2 linked regions of the Macaca fascicularis genome follow. The protein of the gene in region 2 purifies or fractionates together with the protein of the main gene of each other region. This does not show direct contact. Links are inferred from orthologs where the notes say so. Each region holds a gene or a part of one and is shown on either strand. Other genes may lie near its edges.

What was found.
Region 1: the proteins of NDUFAF5 (region 2) and NDUFAF8 purify together in Homo sapiens (affinity purification with mass spectrometry; 3 studies listed by BioGRID and IntAct, counting the BioPlex papers as one, with this or other methods). This does not show direct contact. The link is inferred for Macaca fascicularis from reciprocal best matches to the Homo sapiens genes NDUFAF5 and NDUFAF8.

The regions. Positions count from the first base shown.
Region 1 is NC_088390.1:87,662,231-87,666,141, reverse strand, and holds NDUFAF8 (NADH dehydrogenase [ubiquinone] 1 alpha subcomplex assembly factor 8), read right to left. Parts: upstream 2,376-3,911; 5' UTR 2,372-2,375; coding exon 2,288-2,371; intron 2,168-2,287; coding exon 2,057-2,167; intron 415-2,056; coding exon 385-414; 3' UTR 134-384; downstream 1-133. Other genes in the region: AP-4 complex accessory subunit tepsin, read left to right, coding at 2,687-2,734. UniProt on the Homo sapiens protein: Involved in the assembly of mitochondrial NADH:ubiquinone oxidoreductase complex (complex I, MT-ND1). Required to stabilize NDUFAF5.
Region 2 is NC_088384.1:73,562,031-73,565,841, forward strand, and holds part of NDUFAF5 (arginine-hydroxylase NDUFAF5, mitochondrial), read right to left. Parts: intron 3,350-3,811; coding exon 3,310-3,349; intron 331-3,309; coding exon 133-330; intron 1-132. UniProt on the Homo sapiens protein: Arginine hydroxylase that mediates hydroxylation of 'Arg-111' of NDUFS7 and is involved in the assembly of mitochondrial NADH:ubiquinone oxidoreductase complex (complex I, MT-ND1) at early stages. May also have methyltransferase activity.

The sequences.
Region 1 (3,911 bases), on a different chromosome or scaffold from region 2:
AGGGTGTCCCCAAGTCCCAGCCCTTCCAGTTTTGGGGGAAAGGCTTTGGGCCCCATTCCACCTCGGAGAGGCCAAGACCCACATGTCACAGTCTGCACACAGTAAGCCCCAGGCTGCAGGACTTAACGGGGTCTTTACCGTGGCTTCCATTGTATCTTATTCGAACTCAGATTTACAGACACAACACTGGAAAACCAATTCCTGCTCTACCCACGCCTCAACTTGTTAAGAAGAAGAAATACAGGATCTAACACCCAGGAACGTCACATCTTCGCCATTCCCACTTCCTTTCTGCCCTAGGCATTCAATGTGTGCCACCAGGGGCCATGAGGACGAGGGCACCGCACCCACGGCAGCAGTCAGGTGTGAAGCTCAGAGTCCCTCCTAACAGCCTCGCTCCAGCGTCTTCTTGGCCTGCAAGACAAAGTGTTTTGTCTGAATGGCTTGCTTCCAAGTTAGATATGGCTCAAAAGAAAGCTACCACACTAAATGTCGTGTTCTACGCAAATACCTTACAGAGAACGTGGTGCTGGCATGTGGTGGGGGCTCGACTGGTTGGAGCCTGGGCCCCATGGGCCAGTTCTCTGTGTCACTTGTCCATGGGACAAGGGCCTCATGACACTGTCATGGAACTCACTGCTGCACCCTCCTCTGAGCCCCCACCAGATGCCACACTGGGACCCAAGCTCTCATAAAGGGAAAGCAGGAGCCCCCCAAGTTTTTTTTTTTTTTTTTTTTTTTTTTTTTTTTTTTTTTTTTTTTTTTTTTTTTTTTTTTTTTTTTTTTTTTGAGACGGAGTCTCGCTCTGTCGCCCAGGCTGGAGTGCAGTGGCCGGATCTCAGCTCACTGCAAGCTCCGCCTCCCGGGTTTACGCCATTCTCCTTTCTCAGCCTCCCGAGTAGCTGGGACTACAGGCGCCCGCCACCTCGCCCGGCTAGCTTTTTGTATTTTTTAGTAGAGACGGGGTTTCACCGTGTTAGCCAGGATGGTCTCGATCTCCTGACCTTGTGATCCGCCCGTCTCAGCCTCCCAAAGTGCTGGGATTACAGGCTTGAGCCACCGCGCCCGGCTGTTTTTTTTTTTTTTTTTGAGATGCAGTCTCGCTTTGTCGCCCAGGCTGGAGTACGGTGGCGCAATCTCGGCTCACTACAACCTTCACCTCCCAGGTTCAAGTGATCTTCCACCTCAGCCTCCCAAGTAGCTGGGACTACATCACCAGGCCCGGCTAATTTTTTTTTTTTTTTTTTTTTTGTAGAGACAGGGTCTCCGTATGTTGCCCAGGCTGGTCTCAAACTTCTAGGCTGAAGCAATTCACCCGCCTCAGCCTCCCAAAGTGGTAGGATTACAGGCATGCGCCACCATACCCGGCAAAAAGTGCAACTTCTGATGAGTTACCCACCCCTGGATCCAAGGCTGCTAGGGCCGGGTAGCTATGAAGGCCATGGAGCTCTTGTTCAACTACCCTTTCTCTGGTCCAAATCTGCGGATTAATAGCTCCCAGTAAACAAGAGTCAGCACTGGCATCACGGCCTACCCCAGATACACTGAGGTGGTACCCAGAGAGGCTGACACTTAGGGAACCAGCCTCAGAATGACTTGAAGCCCTATGGTGCCAGTTGTGAGGGTGGCTGGGGGTGCCCGGCAGGACAGGCGCTGAAGGAATCCACTGCAGCTGCACGGGGCGGGCTGCAAGTGAAGGGAGATGAAGACCCGGAAGGCGCTGGGCACTTTCTGGGAGTCCTGTGTTGGGTCGATCCTGGCCTGACACCCCTCGGCGGCAGTGCTAACACGAAAGCTTACGCGTTTTACCAGGCGCTTTAGTGCACACATTTCCCATCCTTTCTGAGGTTGGTGCCAGTCCCGGTTTACAAACACGCAGGGACAAACCCGGGACGGCCGAGGTTTCGCGGGCTCGTCCGTGGCTCGGTGGTTTGGTCAGCCGGCGTCTAAAGCACGCGGCAGGCGCTCAAACCTTGAACCAACGGGAAAGCAAAGGAAAGCTGGGGCCCCCTGGATCTTGGAGGGGAAGGGCTAGGAGGGGCCCGCGCCCACCTACCGCGGCGGCGAAGCAGCTCCGCAGGGCCTCGAACTCCCGCGCGCAGAGGTCCTTGCTTAGGCTGCCGCCTGGGGCCGTGGAGGCCTGCACGCACCTGCCGTACGCCGCGGCCTGCGGAGGGGATGGGCGCGGGTCATGGGGTCCCTTGATCCCGTCACCGCCCTCCCTCCCAGTCACCTCCCCGCGCTGCTCCTCCTGTCCAGCAGCACTGGCCTGCCCGCGGCTCCTCACCTCGGCCCCGCAGGCGGCCAGCCGCTCGGGGAAGGCGCGGAGGCGGCTTCGCACGCGGCCCCACACAGCTCCGTTCACAGACATGAGTGGCTGTTCCCAGAGCCCCTGGGCGCCGTCATCTTAGGTCCAGCCTCTTCCGGTGTCAAACAGCTTGATAGGTCGGCGCTTCCGCCCATAACCTTTCCTGCGCTTCTTAATTGGCCAGAGCCCCTGCAATTGGCTCTTGTCCTAGTCTGTCTGTGCCCTGGGACTTCGGATTGGCCTAGGCTCAAATTGTTTACGAAGCCAACCTCAGGGCCCGCCCCGCCGCGAGGGATTGGCCGGCGGAGCCAGACCCGCGCAGTGATTGGAGAGCCCGGGCCTGGCGGAAGCGGGGCAGACCGGGAGGGGACTTGGATCATGGCTGCCGCGCCGCCGCTACGGGACCGCCTGAGCTTTCTACACCGGGTGAGTGAGGGCGGTCCGCCCGGGCCCCGGCCCCACGGCTTCTCTCGAGCGCCGCGTTCCCCGGACTCGCCCCGGGCTTGAGCCGTTGACCTTGCGTCTCCGCGCCGGGTAGCTGCTGCCGGCCCCTTCGCCCGCGCCGACGCCCCTGAGCTGCCCGCCCGCCGCGCCGTCCCGGGGCCTCCCAAGCCGGACCCACCGAGCGCAAGGGCGATGGGTACAGCCAGACCCTGGGGGAACGAACAGGCCTCCGCCAGCATTCAGTGGGCTCCGACAGGAGGGAAGGAGCGGCGGACCCAGTGGACGTGGAGCCGCTGTGTCCGTGCTGCCGGCGCCCAGGTGGGCTGGCCGCCCGCCGTCCTCCCTAACGGTGGCGTTTCAGAGGACTCCGGTCCTGGAGAGGCACCCCTGGGTTGCAGAGAACACAGACATTTCGAAGGGACAGGGAAGGACACACCGTTGTAAGCCCCTCTTAGTAAACGCTCTGAGAAGGAGAGGCCGGGCCAGTTCCCAGGTGTCGTCCTGAGCAAACCGCCCTCTTTTGTCAGCCCTCAGCTTTCCTAGGCTGAACCTCAGAGGGGGCTGAGTGGGCCCAGGGCGCGGCCTTGGGCTGCCAGAAGCCACGCTAGGGTTGGTCAAAGCTCTCAGTGCAAGGTTTGGACAGAGTCGTTGTGTGCTGCGTTCTGCCGTTGTCAGCTGTCACCTGCAAACCTGTCTAGCTCCCCTTAGGGCTTGGTGGGCAAATAGTGTCAGTGATGTGTGTCCACAGCCTCGGGAAACACTTCAGGTCCACGTTTGCGTGTGTTGTCACTAGATCTCCGCGCTGCCAACTGAAAGGCTTCAGCACCTCACGTGGTCGGTCCCATGCTTGTCCTCTTAAATACTCTTGAACTCTGTTGTGTCCTGAAACTGAATAATGCAAAAATGGGTGGTTCCAGTTTTCATCCCTATAAACTCTACATCTTTGTGCCAGTAAGTCAGCATGAAACCAATAAGTCCATCTGCTGTTAGCGAACATAAAACACACGACATCGGTCGGTTCTTGGGGAGCGATGGAGCCAGTCAGGCTGAGCGGCTGTCACTCTGCCAATCCGGGCTCTTGGGAGGTGGAACTATTCATAGTCCTCTGCGTGGAAAAGCGCTTGCCTGGGCCTTGTTTGGCTTTGCTAGTCAGTAGGTA
Region 2 (3,811 bases):
AAAAAAAAGAAAAAAAAGGGGGAAAGAAAGAGTGCCATAAAACCATGAACACATACAGTTTTCTATCTTTAAAATGAAAATAAGTTACTTCTGAACTGTGTAAGTAATGGGTTAATCAAACTTGATAGTTACCACAGTCAGAGTATTAAAGCCAGCTCTCCCAAGCAGATGTCCCAGGTCATTGACAGCAGTGAAAGGAGAAATGTGTGGAGAAAATCCTCCTTCCCTTTCTGTTTCCGCTAACTGTAAGGAACACCGAAGTTCATAGAGTGTGTCGCCTCCAAACATTGCACCGATAAACACTCCATCTGGTTTTAAAATATAATGAATCTGTAATAAATACAAGACAACAAAATGATTCAAATTTTTACATATATAAATGTTAAAAAATATATAGTGTCTAAATCAACATTTTATGACAACCATTCCTATTATGCCAAATTAATAATCACAGAATTTAACAAATAACATTCTAATGCAACCAACTGTCAGAAAATCATGATGCATAATATACTTGGAAAGACAACTATACATTCACTAATATTAATGCCTATAAAAATATGTTGTATGTTTTCAAGTTTTCTAATAGGTACAACTTAGTTTTATAATCAGAAAAATGCTGAAAGAGAAAAAAATCTTTAATTGGGGTAGGCTGCAAAAATCACAAACCTCCCTGTATCTATGGCCTCTGAACTGTCATTTTCTAACAACTTTCATCAAGATAGGGAGTCTATTTCCCCTCCCCTTGAATCTTGGCTGGACTTGTGACTTGCTTTGGCCAAAAGAATGCAGTGGAAGTGACAGTGTGCCAGTTCCAAGTCTAGGTCTCAAATGTGTTGCATGCTTCCACCTGCTCTCTTGGAGCCCAGCCCAGCCACAATGTGTGAACAAGCCTGAGCTAGCCTAGCGGAGGAGGAGGATGTGGAGCTGAGATCAGCCAGCTGTGCACACCGAGGCCCTCCAAACCAGCTAGCTCCCAGACAATCTGGCAGCTGATCACAGACACATGGACGAGCTAAGCCAGACCCAGATTTCCTAACCAAATCCAGCCCCAACTGCCAACCCACAAAATCGTGGGCTACACAGTTGTTGTTTTAAGCCATCAAGTTGGGGTGCCTTATTATGCAGAATAAGCTACAGAGAACTCATTATGATTCACAGCATTAACCTAGAAACGTATTAGTTTTCTTTAAAGAGAAGTAATTAATTTATTTTCCAGCTTTAAAACAAAACCAAGTTCTAATTGGTAGCTTAAGGAAAATAATGGCCAGAGTGAATTCCAGTACCACAGATTTTGCTCACTCTCAGACTACAAGCTGTAACTACTTTGAATGACTATTCTCAGCAATGAGGACCCTTACAGGAAAAGGTAGATTCTGAAGTAAACCAGAATCCAAATCACAGTAGGCTCTTCTAATAAAAGCACTGTCTTAAATGTATATTTAATATATCATGAAGCTATTAAAAGCAGTATTAATAATTTGTAAAGGCTATGGTTCCTTCCCTTCTTCACCTTTAGTGTTGCTTCCTCTTCTTGTCATCAAACTCTACTAAACCAAACACCTAAGACTTAGTCCTCAGAAGTCTGTAGCCCCCACTCTCCGTCAAACGGCTTATCAACTTCCATGATTTCACAATGACCACTTTCCAATCTCTAACTTCAGCTTGGCCATCTTCTTAAAGTCTAAAATCATCTTCAACTGCCTATTCCCTGGACATTTGTCTCTCAGCATACTTATCGGCCCTGCTCCCTCCAACCACCACAAGGAAAACACCTATTTATCAAATCAATTCCCCTGTCCAACTGCCATATTTCTATTGCCACCTTCTATTCCCTTTATCTGACCATCAACATTCTTTCTCCTACTTTTACTAATCCAGACTCAAAACCTGAAAGTGAGCTTTGCCTCCCCCGTTTGATCTTCAGATCTAATCAGCCACTAAACTTGATTCTTTCTTTGTAGAGTCCTAAATACTCTTCCTTTTAACTCCTACCATTACCACCTAGATTTAGTTTATCTCCTCCTTGGACCACTGAAATAGTCTCCCTTCAATTTAACCAACTGCTCCAGGCATCAGTTTTTCGTTTGTTTGTTTGTTTGTTTTTGAGACAGAGTCTCACTCTGTCGCCTAAGCTGGAGTGCAATGGTGTGATCTTAGCTCACTGCAACCTCTGCCTCCCGGGTTCAAGAGAATCTCCTGCCTCAGCCTCCCAAGTAGCTAGGATTACAAGCACCTGCCACCACGCCTGGCTAATTTTTGTATTTTTAGTACAGGCGGAGTTTCACCATGTTGGCCAGTCTGATCTCGAATTCCTAACCTCAGGTGATCCACCAGCCTCGGCCTCCCAAAGTGCTGGGATTACAGGCATGAGCCACCGCATCCGGCACAGGCATCACTTTCTAATCAGCAAAACAAATATATCTTGCAGAGCTATTTAACACAAATATAAAACAGAGCACAGCAAATGGAAACTGGAAAATTATACGCATTCAGATATGGCCATTATTATTTTGCCCACCAGCTTTGTCATGATGTCATTTTCCTCTTCAAAGTGCTCCAGTGGCTCTGAATTGCATAAACTCCAAATTCCTCAACCTGACACTCAAGTCCTCCTAAATACTGTCCCAATATATCACATTTCATTTCCCAGAACCATACTAGTCCCCCAAACAGGTTTCCTTTTGGTTCCTTAATGCTGATGAGGCTCTTGTGCCTCTCCACCTATCCTGCGATTCTCCCTTCTTAGAATGCCTTCCCAATCCAAATTTCACCCACCCTCTAAGGCCCTGCTCAAGTACTTTCCTCTTGAAGCTTTTCTAGGCCACGTCAAGCCACAGTGATCTTGTTCTCTCCTTTGAACACATACTTTTTACCTGCCTCTCACCTGTCTATTGATACGTGTGAATTAATAAAAATTTACCTAGTACTCTCTGAGTATAAGGCATTGGGAAAATACAAATATAAATAAGTAAGTTCCTACTCACAAAAAGTTTATAGGCAATTAAACTATAAGAAACAAGAAGGAATCCACACAGAGAATGTCTTATGATATCAATATTATTTTGCACAGTTTCTAGCCTGTTCATATTTAAAACTTATCTCTACAATTAGATTTCTTAAATTCTCAGGGAAAGGAGAGTTGCCCAATGTACTACTAATACGCCAAATGGCACCAGGTGATTTCACTGATTCCTTTCCCAACTGTCAGACCTACAAGTAAATAGTTTGTGAAAATGGAAACACCTGTAGGTTTCCAACAATAAAGAAAATAACACAAGATAGTTGAATGAACGTAAGTTTTCTTACCTGCTCAAGTGCTCTAGGAAGGTCATTCACCCAGTGCAAACTAAAATATGAGAATACAGATTTGTTTTAGCTTAATTGGCACAATTAATAAAATTATCACCAGGTTAATGATAACCCATAAAAAGGTGTTAATTTTGAAGTTTAAAACTGCATATCAAAATCCACTGATTGTTTTCATACAAGTTTTAAAATTACAAATATTCCTAGGGGAAACCTTCTTTGTGTCACACCAGAAAATTCCCCATGTCAATATATCACTTTGCTCAACTGAAAGAATCTGATATGATTATTTTCTAATTATTCATCACTGAATTATGTAAAAGTCATTCCTACTATGGCATTTTATCTAAACAGTGCTATTCTGAGACCTTATTTGCAAAAACTAGTAAAAATGCTCAAAGAAGCTCATCAGTTAAATCAATTAAGCTACAGAAATATAATATTCTTCTAAGTCAGACTTTCTCAGAAAATAAAATTATCTGCAGACCTAAATTTTTTCAAG